Oryzias latipes: one gene and its partners. The protein of the gene in region 1 interacts with the protein of each later gene in a pairwise test. Links are inferred from orthologs where the notes say so. Each region holds a gene or a part of one and is shown in the gene's direction. Other genes may lie near its edges. The genes, in order: prkra, adarb1 and lyar.

Region 1 (6,430 bases):
CCAGTCCTTAACTTCTGATCAGTTGTTTGTATTTTAACAACACAAATGCAGATCATTCAAAAAGAATCAATAAGTATGAATAAAATCTGTCTAAGTCTTCTGAAGTGTAAAACATTTGTGCTCATGCTGAACTTCTTCTCTGGTTCTTTCATGGTTTTTAGTACAATCAGCTTCAGCTTTCAGCAGTTGTTCTGACATGAAAACATTTAGCTCCTTCTGGAGATAATATACCTCTGATTTTGCTTACTTTTGAGGATATGAAACATTAACCTGTCATACTATTTATATTGATATTCCCTAATCCAGGGTTCACTTTTATTTAAAAAAAAAAAAAGAAAAAAGAATTGCAGGTTAAATTGCAGGTGTCAGATTTTGGCATTTTTAGCCCTTTTTAAATCAACATTTAGGTTAATTTCCCCCCAAAAAAATGAATTTAGTTTTTTTTTCAATGTTCAAAAATGTTTTGTTAAAAAAATAAAAAACACGAAGGATGCCTTTCCTTGGAGAGAGGGCTGTTCTGTTCTTCTGCCGTGGTTCGTGGTTTGATGTGCGTTACAGATAAGTTCATTGTTCTTCTTTGGCGCAATGATGCTCACAAAATTGCACCAAGAAAGGCAATTGTGCAAAAGTTTATCAGTAGTATCAGAAATCGAGCTGTTGATTTCAGTTTCTAATCCCCAACATTGTGGTGTTTCAATCTAATCTAATACTTTATTTAATGACTTAATTTCTTTCTTAATCCACAACTGTCATTTATTTGCTGTTACAATGTTGAGGTTTTTTCTACCACTGCTCTTTTGACCTCTGGAGTCCCTCAAGGCTCCATTCTTGGGCCATTGCTATTTTCCCTTTTTATATTTACATTATTGTAAAAAAAAAATCTTATCATTTTTTTCACAATGACCCACAGCTTTCTTTGCCACTTTTCCCAAATGAGCCCAATGTTGTATTTCAGTGTTGTTTTAACATTAGTTTTTAAAGAAAGCCCTTTGATTTATGTTAGTAAAATCAGTCTGTTTTGGCATTTTTATGTTTTTTTTTTGCAGAGGTAGCTAAGAAAAAGTCAGTTGATTTGTAGGATCATAGAACTATTGGTCCCACACAGTATGTAAATTGTTGTTTTAATTTAACTTTAACTTAACACACAAGCGCTTTGTTAAAACCCTTCAAAAATCAAAATCCAAGAAATCGTTATCAAAAATCATTAGAAAAGTTGTGTATTTAGATAATTTCTCAGGTTTTACCATTGTTTATCCTCTTCTTAAAAAAATAAATCATTATTTATGTTTAATGCGTGTTTAGTAAATCAGTATTTTGGAGCAGAGGAATTGTCATTAATGAAATTAGCCACCGTTTCTTTTTCTATTCATTCATTCATTCATACAGTTGTAATGTTTGAACTATGAGGCATAAATAACACACTCTCTGTTATGCAGCTGGCATGTTTTCACTCCCAAGAGTGGCTTTTAGTTTTTCTGGGGAGGGTTCCTCCCTCAACTCTGTTCTTTGTTGTCGTTCTATGACAGCGGAAGGAGCGAAGGAAATGTTTTGTTTTCTCGTTTTTATAGAAAATCTCCTTTCACTTCAGTATCTACATGAAAAAAAAGTTTATTTTTCACATCTGACCCTTATTGACTGCCAAAAACTGTTGACTGCCTGTTCCATGACAATAAACATCATCCTTTCTTGAATGAAAGCATTTTTAGCTACTGGATAAAGGCTGAACCTCTGCGTGTGTGTGTGTTTCTCTCACAGAGTCCTTCCGATTCAACAGTTCGGGTGTGAACTCCCGCGCTTGGATCAGTGTGAGAGTCAGACGCAGAGGACACATCACAACCCTGAAGACAAACCGTGATAAATGACTGCTGGGAAATCCACATAGACAGCCTTTTATTTAAATAAAAACGCTCCATGCAAGACTAAATGTTTTTTTTTTTTTACTTCTTTATGCAATATCTACAAAATGTTTCAGATAAATGCCATGAGTTGAGGTTAAATCCTAATTTTCCACTTTTTATTCAGTAACAATTAATTTTTTGAATGTTTATTGTTAGTCCATCTAATGCACTAAACATCCTTTTCAAAAGGTGCATGTTTCCTGTCCTAACTGTATGTTCTTGACTGTGCAAATAAAAATATGCTGTGAAACCACTGTATGGGGTGCATTTGTTACTAGAGAAAATAAGAGGAAGAAGATGTTTAAGCAGAAGAAATGCAAATTTTCTAGTGTAGTTAAAACTATATTAGGCATCCTAATCTAGTTAAAACTAGACAGGTAAAGCTGGTTAAAACCCAAGACTCTGTTCTCAGACTCTATGTAACATTTGGAATCCTATTACCAAACAACAAAAAAAAGACTTTCTTGTAATTAAATCTTCTGCCTTGCTAAATCTATTATAGTCTGCATAAAAAAAAGAGTGCTGAAAAGAAAATTCATTTTCTATACATTTTTGGTTAAGCGTTAGAACATGTCAACACACTTATGTGTGAAAAAATGTACAACACATCAAAAGAATTCGAAATAAATGGGATTTGAAGTATATGGGAAAATAAATAACATTTTGTAATCTGGTTGACCATTAAACCCCTCATAACGAGATTTGTTTTTTTTCTTCTTTTAATTCTTTAACAGTTTGAATAAGTTATTCAAGATACAATTCTGCCGATTATTACCTTAAAAAAGCCTTGTATTGCTAAATTTGTGCTTATTTTATTTATTTATTTATGTACAATATCTGTTCTGTGTTTATTCTATCGGGATGAAATTACGTTTTTTTTCCTTCTATGTTCTGTCCAGAGGTTCTGTTATGTTCAATCAATAGTTTTTTATTTTTAATTTTTAAAAGGTTTCACCACTAGAGGGCACTAACATGTTTTTGTTGTTTAGGATTATTGACCCATCGTTGACCCGGATGTTGATGTCGGACTTTTCTTTTTGTCTTCCGGCGACGCTCTAACTGTAGGGAGTGAAAGGGAAAGGGAATGAAAACATTATTCCCTTATGTTTTAGCCAACTGCGATCAAATGTCCTGGTTCTACATCAAACCATCGTGTTGGAGTTTTAGTTAAGGGTAAAACAATAAGTATCCGGGTGTCAGTCTGACCTTTCAAAATGTCTCAGGAAGGATATCAGACACCAGCCATGATGACTGCTACCGCTGAACCGAGGTTGGTGCTTTGTTATTACCAGTTTATAGATGTTTTTTGTTGTTGTTACAACCCAATGAAAACTGCATTTATATTGTTTACAACACTGCAGTTATGTACGATGGGTTTTTGCTAAAAAAAAAACGGTTCTGGAAAGATTCTTTTCGTTGATTCTTTGGGGTTTTGTGTGCTCTAAATTAAAGTTGGAATAATAAGAGTAAGGGTAAGAGTTCAAATCTCTTTACATGACTTTAGGGGTTTTTAAATAGCCAAATGAGTCATTTAGGCTTGATTTATAGCGTCTGTTTGCCGAAAGGAGAATTGCAAAAAACAAACAAAACAAACAACAACAAAAAACCCACGAGTTTTGTTATATGGTCACATAGGCGGGAGTCATTAAGCCTAGCAATTGGCAGGTTTAAAAAGAATTACGGTAACTCTAACTAGGAATCAATTTTCTTGGGGTGTGCTTTCAAAAGACTCAGCATGTTTATTTATTTATTTTTAAATATATAAAATTGCGGTATTTTCTATTGAAGTGAGATTCATGAAGATCCAGCACATCACGGTCCTGAATGTGCTGGATGATCATGAAGTGAGACGGCGCCGGGCTCTCAACCACAAATAAGCTCTTTTTCCAATTGCATTTTTTCATCTGCTCCTGATTCACAACGACTTGTATAAAGAAATACTCAGAAATACAAATGTAAGCTTAATTTTCTTTATATTTGTCCTCCATCATCAGAAAAATCCCATAAGAACATGTTAAAAATACCAAAAACACAAATGTTTTGAAGTGGGTCTTTAACAGTTGCTGCATTCAGTCCAACTTTGGAGACATCATCATTGATGCAAATGTGCATCAAATCACTTCGATGCTAAAACAGAAGTGATTTGTTTTATAGCTGGAAATAAATGTAGTCCTCAAGGGGTTAAGTTGGTCATTTATTCTGTTGAAATGTTTTTCTGCTGTCATACTGAACGCCTAAATTTTTATCTTGGGGATTCAGTTTCTATTCTTCTTTAATATTTTGGTGTACTTGTTTTTCACCAGCCTAAACCCAGTTGAACCTCTGTGGAATAACCCTGGGAAGACTCCAATTCAAATCCTGCATGAGTATGGGATCAAAAGTGGGAACCATCCCATGTTCATGATGGAGAAGGCTGAAGGCCAGGCTCACCAGCCCAGCTTTGTCTTCAGCGTGACAGTCGGTGACGTCACATGCGTAGGTATGCTAAAGTGTCATGGTCTGGGTCGGCTCTGCTTTAAATCTGTGCAGGAAATAACGAGATCAAGATTATATCTCATACAGCAACATGAGTTCTGTAGTGTTGGAAATCTTAATCACAGTCACAGATTATCAGCCTTCCAACAGCCCAATGACCAAAAACACACGGTCAAAAAATTACTTCACTGTTCTGAAGTGACCCACTTTGAGTCCTGATCTGAATCCTTTGAATGTGTGTGAAAAGAGCTGAAACACGTCGTCTGGGGACGGCGAGAGCTGTTTGTTCACAAGCTCTGCAAACAACAATTCTGGTCACATCTGCTTTTTAGTCAAATAGTTTTCAGAGAAAAAATATACCGTACTTTAAAAACGCTTGTTTTTATTTCAAATAAGCAATATAGGGGTACATATAAAATGCACTTGTTCATAAAATGCTGCTTATTAGGATGTTGCGTGCAGAGATAAATCTGGAGAATAAAGTGGATTGATATGTTTTTATTTCAGGCCAGGGTCCCAGTAAAAAAGCTGCGAAGCACCAAGCTGCAGAGGCTGCTCTGAATATTCTGTACACAGACGCTGGAGCTGGGTAAGTAGACCTGAACTGGTGAGCCGGCGCATATTTGGGTTCTTGCTTGTCCAAAATAATCTCCTTTAAGTTTTCCTTGTTTGCTTTAGCCAAATATACAAGTAGTTTTAGACATTCTTTATACAGAAATGTGACTCATTTTAAGTGATGATTGATGAATCTTTGATGCTCGACAGACATGTTGCTGCGACGGGTCTAAGCAACGCCGCCGAAACAAACAACCATCTTCCTAATTCTGTAGGACTACTCCAGGTACTCAGTCTCTTTTTGCTTTTGTCCTTTTTTATTGTAGAACATTTGATCAGGTTTTTTGAGCCTTAAAATAATTGCAATTATGAACATTCATAATGATAAACCTACAGAAGAGTTTTTACTAATCCCATTTAGAAATATCAATGAATTTCTTAAAAACTCAATCATTTTTTTTGTATGCGTTGAAATCCTCTCTCCTCCTCTTTGTTTCATGCAGGAGTTGGCGTTGCAGAGAGGTTGGCGTCTCCCTGAGTACACAGTTTTACGGGAGACCGGCCCCCCACACATCAGAGAGTTTACAGTCACCTGCAGACTGGAGTCTTTATCAGAAAAAGGTATGAGCATTTACAAAAGAAAAAATCCTTGCGTGTTTCAGTTTTTTCTTTCTCCTAAAGTTGTGTTTTGTGTTGCAGCTGCAGGGAATTCCAAAAAGGCAGCAAAGAAGGCTGCCGCAGAGAAAATGATGGCAAAGCTTCAGAGTTTGTCAGGATGTTCAGAAGTCACATGGGTCAGTGGAGACTCCGTCCTCTGCAGAAACATCTCTGCACCGCTTTTCAGGAAACGTTTCTTTCTCCACTGTCTTTTGATTTCCTAGAATCCAAAGCCGAGCGTCCGATTTGACACCATAAGAAGCTCCACGGCAGAGAAGATAAACCTGCTGAGGAGAAACCCACTGAGCATTCCCAACATGGATTATATTCAGTTGATGTTGGAGCTTTCCTTGGAGCAAGGCTTTGAAGTCACATACTTTGATATTGGTGAGTATATATCTACATGCCCCCTTTACCCCAACCTGCTAGCCTTTACTTTTACCTCCTTTTAATAAGTATCTGTTGGAATTAGCACTTATTACTTGATTGGGACAAAGGACACATTTTTACATTTTGAAGGGGCCACAAAGAGGGGGGGGGGTATGCACTGCTTGTGGTCACTTTAACACAAGAAGTAATTAGAAACACACAGAATACATGTGAAGTTTCTATAAATCAAGCTTTGTTGAAACTTTTCTCTAAGCAGTAAGAGTTTGTGAAAAATAAACTGCATCCACTGCTGTTCTAGTCATCCTTTAGGATGGTAAAAACTCTTATGAAGTGTCTCGATGAATTCAAGAAATTGAAGCAATTTCAAATTGAATTGGGGAAATGCTTAAGCCAGTGTTTTTCAACCTTTTCTGAGCCACGGCACACTTTAAGCTTAAAAAAAATCCCGCGGCACA
Region 2 (6,554 bases), about 3.7 Mb from region 1:
GTCACTAAGGAGAAAGTGTCCCACTTTTGCACCAGCATAAGGAGTAACCATGCAGTGAAATGGCAACATAACAAGCTTACATGCATCGGAATTACACACATGAATGTCGGGGGCACAATTCCAAAAAGACACTTAAGTACGTAATAAAAGGCAGAAAAGTTTACTTGATGGAATCTATAACTGCAGAAAAGGTTTTTCTGTATGCGGTTATACAAAAGACGGAGAATATATACGATCAGAAATGTTTGATTCCAATGAGTTGAAGGGAGATGAGAATCCTGGTGATTGTCTTCTATAAAGGTTCAGTAACACAATCCGCTCCAATCTGATCTAAAGTCCATGGAAATCTCTCTGAAAACAAAGAAATTTATCCTGTCAGGAGTTAGTCAGAAAGATGGACCTCTGCGTGAATTCATATGCGTTTTGGTTCTTTCCCCGTTTACGGTTTGAATGTGACCGATTGAATTAGATCTGCTGCAAAAGGGTGGTCTGTCCGTAAAAAGGTTTGGTATTTGAAACAAGAGATTTGTGTCTGTAAAAACGTTTTGTATCTTAAAAAAAAGTGTTCCTCTGTTAAAAAAAATAAATAAAACAAAAGCATTTTGTACCTTTACTTAGAAATGTGTGAAATACGAGCCTTGATCGTTAAATAAGTTCTTTTGCTTCTTTTCACTGTGCTCCACTGCTGGGACCAGCCGATCAAATGCTTCATTCTACACCAAGGAGATGAGACGCAATATCGGAACAAATCAGAATTTCCTGAAACTAATAATGATCAACAATTGTTTCTTTTGTTGCATTGTTGACATGAATTACACCAGTGACCATGTTTTGGGTATTTTCCACTATTTCGTTCAACTCTTACAAGTGCAAAACATTTTAAGGACTTTTGCAACAAAGCCAACTTGACAACTGACTTCTCTATCCGGCTTCATTTACTCCAGAGGAAACCTGAAACTCAGCATCTTTACCTCACTGTACAGTTTTGTCCCTGATAATTATAAAATAGAGTATATAATAGGGCAAATGGACTGTTTATCACAAAGTGAAATAACCAGGTCTTTGTTCCTGAAGGTCAGAAATAAAATAAAAATACAAGACGATCCATTTTCTCCAAACCAAAGACCCAAAACAGAACCTGTATCAGGCAACTTGTTAGGAAGAAACCATTCAAATCGTTTAGTAAAATGAGTTTCACGACATTGAATATGTTAACCAGCCATCTGTATCTGTTCAACTTGCATCTTATTTATGTGTAGTTTGCAGTTTTTTCAGATTAACTAGAGCAGAATATCAAATCCAAAGTGTTAACTTGTGCCCACTCTGGAAATCTCCCCTTCTGTCTTTATTATAGTTTCTCCAACAAAAATGACGTTTTTGGTGTGTTTTGAACATGTCCTTTTCCCACGTTTTTGATGATGGAGGACACATAGAAAGAAATGGGAGATAAAAGTTGTACGTCTGGGAATTGTTTTCATTCAAATGGTGAATCGCGAGCAGACGATAAACAATGCTTAAATGTCAGAGCTAGCTCCCTTTTTCGCAACCGAAGGGGGAAGGGGGGGCGGGGTCGCTCTGCGCCAAAGAACGTCTCACATACACCAGTTAATTTCTGAGGAAAATGAAAAGGCATCCTCATCTGCTGCATGGCTCTTCCTTTTTTTTAAATCCCTCTGTGCTTCCCACCCTTCTGTTAAACAGCTTTTCTGTGTGTCTCAGATGACGATGTGACAGAGGTCAGTGAAAGTTTTTGTCCTTTACTTATCTGGAAACTATTCTTTCTGTGTCCAACAGGTTTCTCCCGTGACAGTCGTTGCAGAGCCAAAGGTGAGTTTTTTCCTTCTACTCCTTTCATTTTCAGTCATGTGTTTTTGTCTTTTTCTGTACTCCAAACAGCTTTGAAGTTTTCAAGGTTGTGTGAAATGTTTGTTTGTTTGTTTTTAAGCTATATCTTCATAATCGTAATTCATTTTCTGCCAAATACATGTTGTTACTATGTGTGGCCACCAGAGGGAGGCAGAGTGTTTCCTATCGGGTTGCGTCTCCATCATTGTAGTGACTTTTCAGGCTGAGTGTCCAACACCCCAAAAATACCCATTTTCTTGGTGTGCAAACTTGTAAATCTGATCTTAATGTGCTGTATGTGATACAGAAGGGGTTGAAGTTTCCACTGCAGAAGAAACATGACCACAAAAGAACCTTAGTGGTTGCTTGTTGCAGGAGGGAGCTGGGGGGGGGGGGAGGCTGCTTGCTTGTTGCAAAGGTCAGATACATTTCAGACAGGTGTAGGCTGCCTTTTCACATTTGTTCATTCTTATAAACCTGAAGGTATGACTCTCACTCCTTTCCAAGTCTCCTCCTTCCTCACCACCCCCTTCGCCTCCCCCTCTCCGACTCCTGATAGGGCAGACATGGAGTCAACGGAGGAGAGAAGCAGCGAGAGGAGGCGGTGAAGAGAGGGGAGGGATAGAAAAGGAGTTTGGATGTGAGGGTAGAAACAAAGAGAGGCTGCAGGTGTGTGGGGTCGATCTGTTGCTATCACCATGTGGTCGCACAGGAGGAACTTGTAGATCATTTAATTGGGATCACTGCAGGGGTTGAAGTTTTACCTGATCTTTCAAAAGCCTTTTACTTGATTTGTTTTGGGCGTTTTTTTTTGGGGGGGGTGTAAGTGGGCATCAAATCATGGCTCTTTTCAGCAACGAGGCGCAGAGTCTGGGCTCCTATTATTGTCTGATCCGACGCAAGTTCAAGAGGAGGCGGAAGAAGCGGTCGGAACGCAAAGGTAACCCACCAGTGGAAGTTATGAGGCTGCGGAGCAGCCGAGGCGGCTCAGGAGAAAGCCTCACTTCCCCCAAAGAAACATTGATCCTGCCTCAGGAAACATTTGAGTTTTTAATGCCTTCTTGTCAGGTGGCATCAGCAGACGGCTTTATTTGAGGAGAGTTCCAAGATTAAAGCTCTACAATGAAGTTTTCTGTTGGAAGATTTTTATTTTTTATCTGGCATAATCTGTCTGGGTAACAGCTTATTTAAATTTTTTTAAGTAAAAAAAATCTTCATTTAAGATTATGTATTGTATTTATTTTACAAAAACTATTTAGAAGCTGCATATTGTCCTTCAAAAAGATAAAACATGATTTTTTTAATAGATATTAAAATTTTCTGGCATCCATTTTTAATTTTTTGCAACTTTCTATATTCGCTTGTTAATGTACGATGCTTTTCGTTTTTCTAAGGAACTTTATAAATAAGACCCACTCTGATAATTTTTTTTTAACTTTCCAAACGTTCCCAGTGGTCTTTTGATTATGATTTAGCTGTTTTTAGTTCAAATAAAATAAAAACGGTGCTGTTTTTTGAGTCATAGTTTTTGCAGAGCGACGGTAGTTTATTAGAAATTCAAATCTGAGTAGTGGGCAGGTATCCTCCCCCTCTGATGCAAAATGTGTGGGTATAAATGGGATGGCATTTTTTAATCCTTTATCACAACAATTTAAAAAGAGAAATACTCAGAAATACAATGTTAAGCTTCAGTTTTTCAATATATGCCCTCCATTATCAGAACATGTTAAAAACACCATTTTCATTGGACCGGGTCTTTAACAGCTTTAGACAATCACCTTTTAATACACCTTTCTTTATAGAGTTGATTTTTTTAAAGAATTTTATAAAGAAACTTGACTTAAAGTGTCATTTCACACAGCTGTATCAATGTCTTCTGGACTTATGGTCTCATTGTTGTTCATTGTTCCATCTGAACTTTCAAACACTGTTATCCTGACTACTAAAGAAAGACTTTTTTGTCCAAAATAAAAAAGAAAGAAAGCTTAAATTCCCAAATAACTACAATTCCCAGAGCCCCACCTATTCCTTGATAAGTCCCAAATGTTCTTTGTAAAAACCAAGCGGAGTTCATTCAGGCACTTCTAAGAAGTCGGACTAATCACTACTTACTGACGTCGTCTGGCTCCAACATGGCGCCGTCTGTATCACAAGATAATGGCGACTTAATTGACGTCATGTGGTTGGAGCTGGAAGTTGCCGTGGTTACCAAGGGTGACGTCCCACTCAGTCCAGTTGTCATCTACAGTCAGTAGTCTGCGTTCACAACAAAGTGGGCTGAGAGCCTTTTATTCAGCTTTACCTGAATTTTTCTAATAAATATTTAAAAATAAATGTAGTAGTTAAAATACTGGGAAGCTAAAGAAAAAGTACTAGATAGTTACAGTTCTGTAACCCTTCTTTCCTGAACTTCTCCTAAAATGGTGCTTCGGCCGTGTGATGCGATACCCGTTCCTGGTATTTGATATGCGTTATCTTCCAGATCATTTTTAGTGCACTCTGTAATCTGGGTTTACGAAGTCATATTATCCTGCAAATCCCAGCAGCTCATTCAATTGGATTACTAGAAAAACGTGACAGATTTTTACTTTTATGATCAGTTTTGAACTTGTTAAAACGCCTTTAGTGGCAAACTTTTAAACCTATTTGTGAAAGCTTTGCTTCGAAATCCGACTTTTGATTAAAACACACTAAAATTAACAAAACTTCATTTTCAAATTGTTTTAATGACAAAGGTGTTTAATTTAGATTTTTCAGCTTTAAGCTCTTTTGTGGTCAAAACTGCAGATTTCTGGACTTTTCGGAGCAGTTAACCAGAACACAATCAGCGTTGATGTTCATTTAATGTGGTATTTGCTATTCAAATGTCTGTCTTAACATAGATATTCTGTAGCTTGTTGTATTAGATCTCATTTCATTATCTCTTTATTTGTAGATCACCTTTGATGCTTGACATAAAGATATATAAACATAGTTTTAACGATGAGAAGTCATAGAAAAACAAACTAAAAGCAGCAATCAAAAGACGAACATAAGATGGTAGAGAAAAACGGAGACAATTAGTTCATTTTTGACGTCTTCCTGCTTCTGATTACTTTTCATTCAAAGTACAATTAGGTCTTCTAAGGGTGATTCTCTACCACACCTACATATCCCAGCTGCTTACCGTGTTGTTTTTTCTTTGGTGCTGTAGTGATCTGGATTTATTTCGGCGTGCTGAGCCGCTTTAGAAATGCTGAACTCGAGCGCATCTCTTATAAATGCGCCAAGCCTTGACGCTCGCAGACGCTGCTTTCCAATGGGCCGTGCATGAAATATGGAAAATTGGGAAGAGGGGTCTTTTCTGCCGTGCCAGCACAATCTCCAAGATGAGCTTTTTGCAAGTTTATCAGAGGGCAGAAAGGGGATCCGCACTCCAGACAGCCTCAATCATTTGTTTAATGTTATTTAAAAATATTTCAGTGCTATTTTTATTTCAAAATTCTTAATTGAAACAAATCTTTTTAGATGTTGATTGTTTTGTGTTGAAGACTTTTATTCTTTTCGTTAGAGTCTCAGTTGTTGACTAAATAGATTTCCGGACCTGATTAGCATTCGTTGTCAGCATCTCTTAAAGGAAGTTAAATAGAAAACATTGTCATTACTTCTGAGAAAAACACTGTGGATTGGAAACAACACAAACACTTGAACTCTCTCTCTCCACCTCAGAAAGGAGTTGTTTTCCTGTCTTGGTGCAATTAGCTGTGATTAGCACGTTGCTGATGACAAACTGTCAGAGGGAGAGACGGGACGCAACGCAGAGGTGCGTTTACTGCCAGAGAGACACTTCGGAGCCCAGGAGACGGATGCATGCAGCGGTTTGTGGCGACCGCCTTTGTCACCGGGAGATGAACTTCATTACCGCAGATGCAAATGGATATCGAAATGTTCCGCCTTTGCAGCAGGCGACTCTGCTGCTTCCATGTCATAGGTGTCGATCCGAAGACGGTGATGAAAATTACAATTTTGTGTGCAAGTGTGCAACCTTTTCCAGCTGTGCAGAGGAGAAGCTAAATCCTGGTTGCAATGACTGTTTTTGTAATATTGCATGGCTGCTAATCTGGCCATGGCAACCCAGCCGACATTCATTCTCCCGCTGTCGGGCGTTGGCGCGCTCTCCTTCCCTCTGTCTGCTGTCACAACCTTTTTCATCGGACTGAAGCTTCCCGTCCGTCAGTCGTATCTCATCTTCTTGACGGCTGAAAGGGCACAAGGTGTGAAATGCAGCTCCGAGATGACAACATGTCGGTGCACCAACTGCACTAACTCACACGGTTCTTGCATTCTTGCACTGCATTTCATTTACAGACACCCCCACCCCCCTGAACAAGCTTCGCTCTCTTTAGCATCGCACTGCATCTCACCTGGTCTTGAATGGGACGCAGTGTAATGCTACAGACACAAATGAAATGTTCTTGAACGCACATTTAGCTCACAGTGTTCACACTGGACGAGCAGAGAGGGGCTTCTTTTTCCCTTTTCTCTAGTTTACTAGCGCATGTCCACCACCTACAGTTGGAAGAGACCTGGTGCAAAATGTTGAAGCAAATATCGATGTAAATCTCGCTAATCGTGCTCCAGGCTTTTTTTCCCCCAGCTCTATTCCGATGTGTTCAAGACTTGGTGTCATAGAATTCCAGCCGATCAGAAACTACAACTATTAATTTTTC
Region 3 (6,528 bases), on another chromosome or scaffold:
ATAAAATGGCTAAAAAAAAAGGTATTTTATCTCCTTTTTCATAGAATTTTCTTTTAAACAATTTAGGATTCCTTTAGTTAGTTAGATTAAACCATCAAAAACAAATTTGTCTTCAAAATGAAAACAATTATATATGTAAAAAAAGCTTTTCAGTTGAAAAAAGGCAGCGTGAATTTAATATGCATTATAAAAGAAGTTTACTACCTTTTACCACATAATTCACAAATGTATGGCTTCTCTCCAGAGTGGCGCCTCAAATGAGTCTGTAAATTCCCTGCCTGCAACAGAAATGTAAATAATAATAATAACAATTTAAAAAAAAAACAGGCTGAGATTTGAAAAATAAAACACAATTACCTGTGAGAAGTTTTTCCCACAAATGCTGCACTGGAAAGGCTTTTCACCTGCAACAGATTAAGAAAAAAAGAACTATATCTCAAAAAATTGACTATTTATTTTAAGAGACTTCATGTAATAACAGGTCATTGGTGTCCAAATTCAGCAGAAACAGGTTATACCAGTATGTGAGCGCTTGTGCAGCTCCAGGTTACTTGGATGTTTGAAGATCTTCCCACAGACCCCACAGCAATACTGCTTGTGTCCTGGCTGCTGTGGAGGCTCTGGCAGAGACTTCAGATTTGGCTCATCTTGGCTTCCAGGCAGATTGGAGAGCTGGACCTCTGCTGACTCTGAAACCTCCTCTCTCCTTGCGCTGCTGATTTCAACGGGAGCTTCTGAGGTTTCTGTCTGCACCACTGATTCACCTTGATGGTGTTCTATGGGGCTGCTGATAACAGGTTCATTGACTGACTTGTTGCACATTTCCTCAAGAGCCTTTTGAGAGCGGAGGTAATTATATTTCTTCAGATACACCGCTTTCTTTGGGCGAACTGGCTTATTGCTCAGAGAATCAGCTAAATCTGTGTTAGGAGTGTTTAAATTGTCTGAGGGCATTAAAGAACGGACATCCTTTCCTGCCGATGCAGATGGTGGCTGAGAACTTAGTGGGTTTCCTGAAGTCACAGAGGTATCACTAGCTCTGGGGGTAATTCCGAGCTGACACGCTTGTTCCTCTGCCATCATCAAAGGGCCTGGGACTTGATTTGAAGCAGCATTGTTAGTCTGAATTGCACTTAGCTTGAAGTACTGCTTACTGTAGAAATTACGGAGCTTGTATCCATGGTGCAGAGGCTTTTCTGCAGACTGGGAGCTGCTAGACATGTCACAGTTAGAGCTGCTGTTGGGTAAAGAAACCGGCATTCTTCTAGTGTGTTCCGTATCACTGTATAAGTTAGGCCGTGGAGGTTCTGTGGGACAGTGCAGGTTAACATCGTGAGTCAGGCTGCTTCCCAGAAGGCAATCGTGCTCTGAGCCTAGCATTCCTGGGAGAGTGAAGGAATGCATTTCCACGGGTGGGGGGCAAGGTTTGAGGAAAGCATTACACAAATTCTGAACGTTTGGAACTTGTAAGTTCTGTGCTATGTCTAGAAGTGCCTGTACATTCTCTTGGTTAATGTCCAGGTGGGATGTATACATGTAGTCCAATATTTGGCCAATGCCACTGACATCTTGGATAACCAAGTTAAAGACGTCATTCTTCTGACTGGGAGAATTTTGGAACAAAGACCTGAAAAACAAATGTAAAAAATGGTCATATCTCTTAGGGTTCACAGCAACACCTCATGTGGATATTCTGTTGTCAAATAAATGCATAAAAGTACCTAAAGTAGGAACTAAAAGCAGCCAGAACGTTTTTGTGAGCTTTAAAACAGACTCCTTTAACCACCAGCATGCAGTCACAAAGCAGCCCTTGGATTCTTTGCTCCTGGAGCTGCTGTAGGAGGTAGGAGCTGTGGCTGGACAGGGTCTCCATTTATGATCACTCAGCTTCCCCCCTTTTCAAAGCGAAACACACAAAAATCACATTTAAAACAACAACAACAGCCTGAGTTTACACGACTCAAAAGTAAAAGTTGATTACGAGTCAAAAGTAAAAGTTGATTAAAGGGTTGAACTCTAGTAGTGAGCCACACACCGCAGTCCATGTATAAATATATATATATATTTTTTCAAAAATAACTGTCATGTAGCTCAAGAATCGCTACAAGACCGTCCATGCAAAAATTTGACCTGCTACTAAGCTAACAGCGTGGCTATTCGAGCCATTTACAATGACAACTAATAAATAAACAGCTGACCTGTCTTAATTATAAAGGTGTTTATTTATATATATTATTTTACTATTGTCGATATCCATTCAGAGGGGTCCCAAAATCATTGTGAAGTGTTTCGTCTTTTATTGGGATGACGGGTCACTCGCGCTTAATAACATTACGTAACTTCCTGGTACAACGCTTATTTTGTACCCCTCGTGGGAAAGAAATACATCTTATACTAAACCCCCAAACAGTGGGACTATATACATTTCTAAAGTGCTGTTGAAATCGTAAATATACCTCTTTGTAGTATAATTATTTTGTGTTATGAAATGTAAAAAAAGGTTTTCAGGAAGAAAAAAAAAGGTCTGCGGAACTGGTGTCTAGTTAAAATTTCTATACGGAGAATCAAGACTGTAGCTTCAAGGAATGTAATCACGTGTCTGTTCAAAAGTTTAGACGGGAGAAACTCAACCCGCACGTTTACGCTCAAATTAAAATTTTAAAGAGGTTAATTTAACGGGCTCTAATTTTTGGGTATTTTTAAAGACAATGAAGGTTTTGTTCTTTGTCATGCGTTTTTTATAACTTACTAGAAAAAACGTTAGCTTGCCGTAGGCAGGTCTCTAGTCAGTGCATTAATTGATGGTGTTTAAAGTGGTTTAACTTTCTGTCGTTTTGCTGGTTTAATCTACATATTGTCTTTATTAATTTAGAGAAAGGTTGCTTCTGTGGATAAAATTGATCAAAATGGTGTTCTTCACCTGCAATGCGTGTGGCGAGTCTCTGAAAAAAGCCCAGGTCGATAAACACGTGAACATCTGCCGTGGGTGTCAGGTGTTGTCCTGCATTGACTGCGGAAAAGATTTCTGGTAAGACCAATTGGGTTATTTCTAAACATTACAAAATATCGTCGGGAACAAGTTTGTTTTTCCTCCAACCGGTGCCATGGTACTAGGCTGCAGGTTACCGTAGTGCCCTGTAGGCTTACTTGATTTGTTTCTTTCTCTAAACTGATTTTGATTGCCTTGGGCTTCTTTTGCGTTGTCACGTGCCTGCTAGCCCTAATTTGACTATTTCCCACCACTTCTGGGTCTGAAGTGGGATACGGGTGCATCGATCAGCTGTTGTTGCTTGGCAACAACAAAATTCCACCAGAGAAGTGACCGGAGATCGAAGGAGAGGCTGAGGAGACTGGGGTCTCTTCAGAGTTTACAGGACTCTTAAGATTTTTTTTTATTGTGGCGAAGTCCTGGGGCGGTGGCGGATGCACTAACTGACATAGGAAGAGGATCAACAAACTGGTATGGAGATACGACTCCATTCTGGATGTCCCTTATAGAGTCTGTGACTGTGGAGGGTCACAGGACGATGTTACAGAAACTGAAATGCATCATGGACAATCCTCTTCATCATCATCCTCAGCATGAAACCATGGACTTCAACACCTTGTCACAGAATTTTCTTTCTGTTAGCTACTAGACTCTACAACACCTCATAGACACTGGATGTTGGAGCCAAATTCACAGTTTATATTTAATAGTTATTTTTGGAGCCAAATGCACTGTTTTGATTTAATAGTTAATTTAAATAATTATTGTTTGAACTTCCAATTAAAAACCCTACGTCACAGAGATGCTGTTAGTGAGACTCATTGTTGATTGAAGCCGGAGAAAGTTGGAAGCGATATCGTTTTTTGACTAAATTGTAGTGGCACTCTCTCTGCGTGTCTCACTCGCGTTTCAAATAACAGTTGCCGGACAGACGTCAAACGGTGGAACAAGAGAAAGACACAGAGAGAGTGCCACTACACTGGGGAATAATCACTGTTCTTCATTTTTAAGTGTATTTTTTAGTATTAGTTATTATCTATCTGCTGTTTTTTAATAGAGCTATGGTAACACGGAAATTTCCTTTTTGTGGGATCAATAAAGATTTATTCTCTTATACTCTATTCTAACGCATAATGAGCTCTGTGACTGACCAAGTAACGCATTCAATGTGACTCTTTTCTGCGTATTACCTAGGGACGACGACTATAAAAATCACACTAAGTGTATCAGTGAAGACCAGAAGTATGGGGGGAAAGGCTTCGAGGCCAAGGCAAACAAAGGCGATGTCAAACAACAGCAGTGGTTACAGGTAAACATCTTCCCAAGTTCGATTATATGTGAACATTTGTTTTTCTTTTGGATCCTGACTTGTGTCTTTTCCTGAAGAGAATCCATGAAGCCCTGAACAAATCAAGCATCAGTCCCAAGCTGAGAGATGTGCTCAGGCAAGTCAGTGCATACGACAATGTCCCCAGGAAGAAAGCCAAGTTTCAGGTTGGTGTTACCAAAACTTGTAAGAAGGGTTTAGGCTTTTACCAGGAAGATTATTAAAATGTGTATTTACTTATTACTGTTAATGTTTTTTCTTCTTTCAGAACTGGATGAAAAACAGTCTAAAAATATCCAACACAAGCCTACACGAGGAAGTGTGGAACATAATTGCTGCTGCCGTCGATGTAAGTAGCTGTTTTGTTTGTTAAAGTAAATATTACACTAAATTATTAGCTGGGGAGCCTAAGCTTTAATGGAAATCAATGGAAAATAATATTAATGTGATATTTAAGGGCTGGAAATGTATTAAGTGTTGTGTAATACCGTTCATTCTTTCACTGTACTGTTGTTTTGCTTATCTGTAATCTTTTGCACCCCAGGTTCCAGAAGATACACAGCAGCACATGGAGAAAGAAGCTGAAGTCCAAGCAAACACTAATGGAACTCAAACTCCGTTTGGCCACGAAGATGTGAAGAAAAACAAAAAGATGAACAAAAGAGAACGCAAAGAGGCCCGGCAGCAGAACAACGGAAAAGCTCCAAAACTATATGACGAACAAGTCACACAAGAGCAGAAAGAAAGCCAAACAGGGAAAAGGAAAAAGGATGGAAAAAGAAAACACAAAGAAGCAGAAGATGAAGAGCAAAACTGTGATGAAAATGAGATATCTGCCAAGAAAAGGAGTAAATAACATTTTTTTTTCTTATTACAACACTTTTTTGTTTGTTTGATAAAAAGGATGGTTTTTGTGTTTAAGGCCTGTGTTCCTGTTTTCTTTCAACCTTTTTTCCAGTTAAGGTTGCAGCAGAGGCTAATGATGCTGAGATGTCAAATGAGGCTGAAGATCAAGCTGTTCCTCTGGGTAAGTTAACTCTAGACTGACTTAACCCAGTGGGTTATGGTCCTTAAATGATTGTATTTTATTGGGAGTCCAGTAGAGGTCAGTCTTGTTCTTCATTATATGAAAATGTTAATTTGGTTGCTCATTTCTTTGGTTTTCCTTACAGGGAAATTCCACTGGAAGGAAACCATCATGGCGGTTCTCCGTAAAACACCTGACCAGGAACTGCCCATCAAAAGGCTCAAGAAGAAAGTGAGGCTTATAGATGATAGAGTTGTTTGTTTGCTGTTAGATTCCTGATCTAAAATATTTTCTTGCTAGTTGAATCTTGATTTTTGGTTAATCCCGGCTTTCTTTACATTTTAGGTTTTGGCAGCTTATTACTCTTTCACTGGCGAGAGGAATTTTAAAACAGAGGAACAACTGATTTCTACATTCAACAAAAAGATCAGCAAAAATCCGAAGTTTAGAGTTCTGAAAGACCAAGTGAAACTTGTCAATTAGATGCTCGTGTATTTTGTAAGATTTTAAAAATAAAATCATTGCAACTGTCGATAATTATTTTTTTTTTTTTACAGTAATGGCAAAGGTTCAAATTAGGGATGTCCAAATTCTGGCCTCGAGGGCCGGTGTCCCACATGTTTTCCAACCATCTTGCCATTAAAGCTCCTTTTTGGCTAAACTCACCTGATCTAGGTAATCAGCAGCAGATGAGGCAGGATTTCTGGAAAACTAGCAGGAGGCTGGCCCTGGAGGCCTGTATTAGGGGACCCTTGGTTTAAATGCTTCATAGTTCTTTGCTGAATGAATTGTTTTGCCCTGAGATATTTTTTAGTTATTTATTTGTTTTAGATTTACTCTGGTGCGTCATTTATACAAGTTTCCATACACCGTGCCAGTTATAGAAGACTGCCCCGTTGCACATTCTGAGCTATTGGGGATGCTGGGAAATGGCACCTTATCTGTGGGATTGGATGTTGAGAGTTTGGGTGGGAAGGAAACGGGAGAGGTCCTCCTGAGGTGAATCTGACTCTTACCCAAGATGAAGCTAATGCGCATTCCTCTGCAGCCACAATGGGGTTCACTTGGCCCGACACACACAAGCTCCATAGAAGCAGGACGCTTGGTGTCAGCCTCAGGTGAAATTTGAATGCTTTCTGATTTTCCACATCTCGAAAGAGCAGTCTCTTTCCTCGATACAAACAA

The links.
Region 2: the proteins of prkra (region 1) and adarb1 interact in binary tests that used the Homo sapiens proteins (3 or more experiments, as listed by UniProt). The link is inferred for Oryzias latipes from reciprocal best matches to the Homo sapiens genes PRKRA and ADARB1.
Region 3: the proteins of prkra (region 1) and lyar interact in binary tests that used the Homo sapiens proteins (3 or more experiments, as listed by UniProt). The two-hybrid records come from large-scale screens. The link is inferred for Oryzias latipes from reciprocal best matches to the Homo sapiens genes PRKRA and LYAR.

The regions. Positions count from the first base shown.
Region 1 is NC_019879.2:22,832,761-22,839,190, reverse strand, and holds the start of prkra (interferon-inducible double-stranded RNA-dependent protein kinase activator A), read left to right. Parts: upstream 1-2,916; 5' UTR 2,917-3,112; coding exon 3,113-3,168; intron 3,169-4,201; coding exon 4,202-4,377; intron 4,378-4,880; coding exon 4,881-4,962; intron 4,963-5,138; coding exon 5,139-5,214; intron 5,215-5,431; coding exon 5,432-5,549; intron 5,550-5,627; coding exon 5,628-5,722; intron 5,723-5,809; coding exon 5,810-5,972; intron 5,973-6,430. Other genes in the region: protein FAM237A, read left to right, coding at 1,756-1,862. UniProt on the Homo sapiens protein: Activates EIF2AK2/PKR in the absence of double-stranded RNA (dsRNA), leading to phosphorylation of EIF2S1/EFI2-alpha and inhibition of translation and induction of apoptosis.
Region 2 is NC_019879.2:26,491,097-26,497,650, reverse strand, and holds the start of adarb1 (double-stranded RNA-specific editase 1), read left to right. Parts: upstream 1-2,388; 5' UTR 2,389-2,685; coding exon 2,686-2,785; intron 2,786-6,554. UniProt on the Homo sapiens protein: Catalyzes the hydrolytic deamination of adenosine to inosine in double-stranded RNA (dsRNA) referred to as A-to-I RNA editing.
Region 3 is NC_019863.2:16,777,759-16,784,286, forward strand, and holds the start of lyar (cell growth-regulating nucleolar protein), read left to right. Parts: upstream 1-2,568; 5' UTR 2,569-2,906; coding exon 2,907-3,028; intron 3,029-4,183; coding exon 4,184-4,298; intron 4,299-4,375; coding exon 4,376-4,483; intron 4,484-4,584; coding exon 4,585-4,665; intron 4,666-4,860; coding exon 4,861-5,164; intron 5,165-5,274; coding exon 5,275-5,343; intron 5,344-5,488; coding exon 5,489-5,574; intron 5,575-5,688; coding exon 5,689-5,826; 3' UTR 5,827-6,528. Other genes in the region: zbtb49 (zinc finger and BTB domain-containing protein 49), read right to left, coding at 205-278, 358-404, 519-1,627, 1,722-1,873. UniProt on the Homo sapiens protein: Plays a role in the maintenance of the appropriate processing of 47S/45S pre-rRNA to 32S/30S pre-rRNAs and their subsequent processing to produce 18S and 28S rRNAs. Also acts at the level of transcription regulation.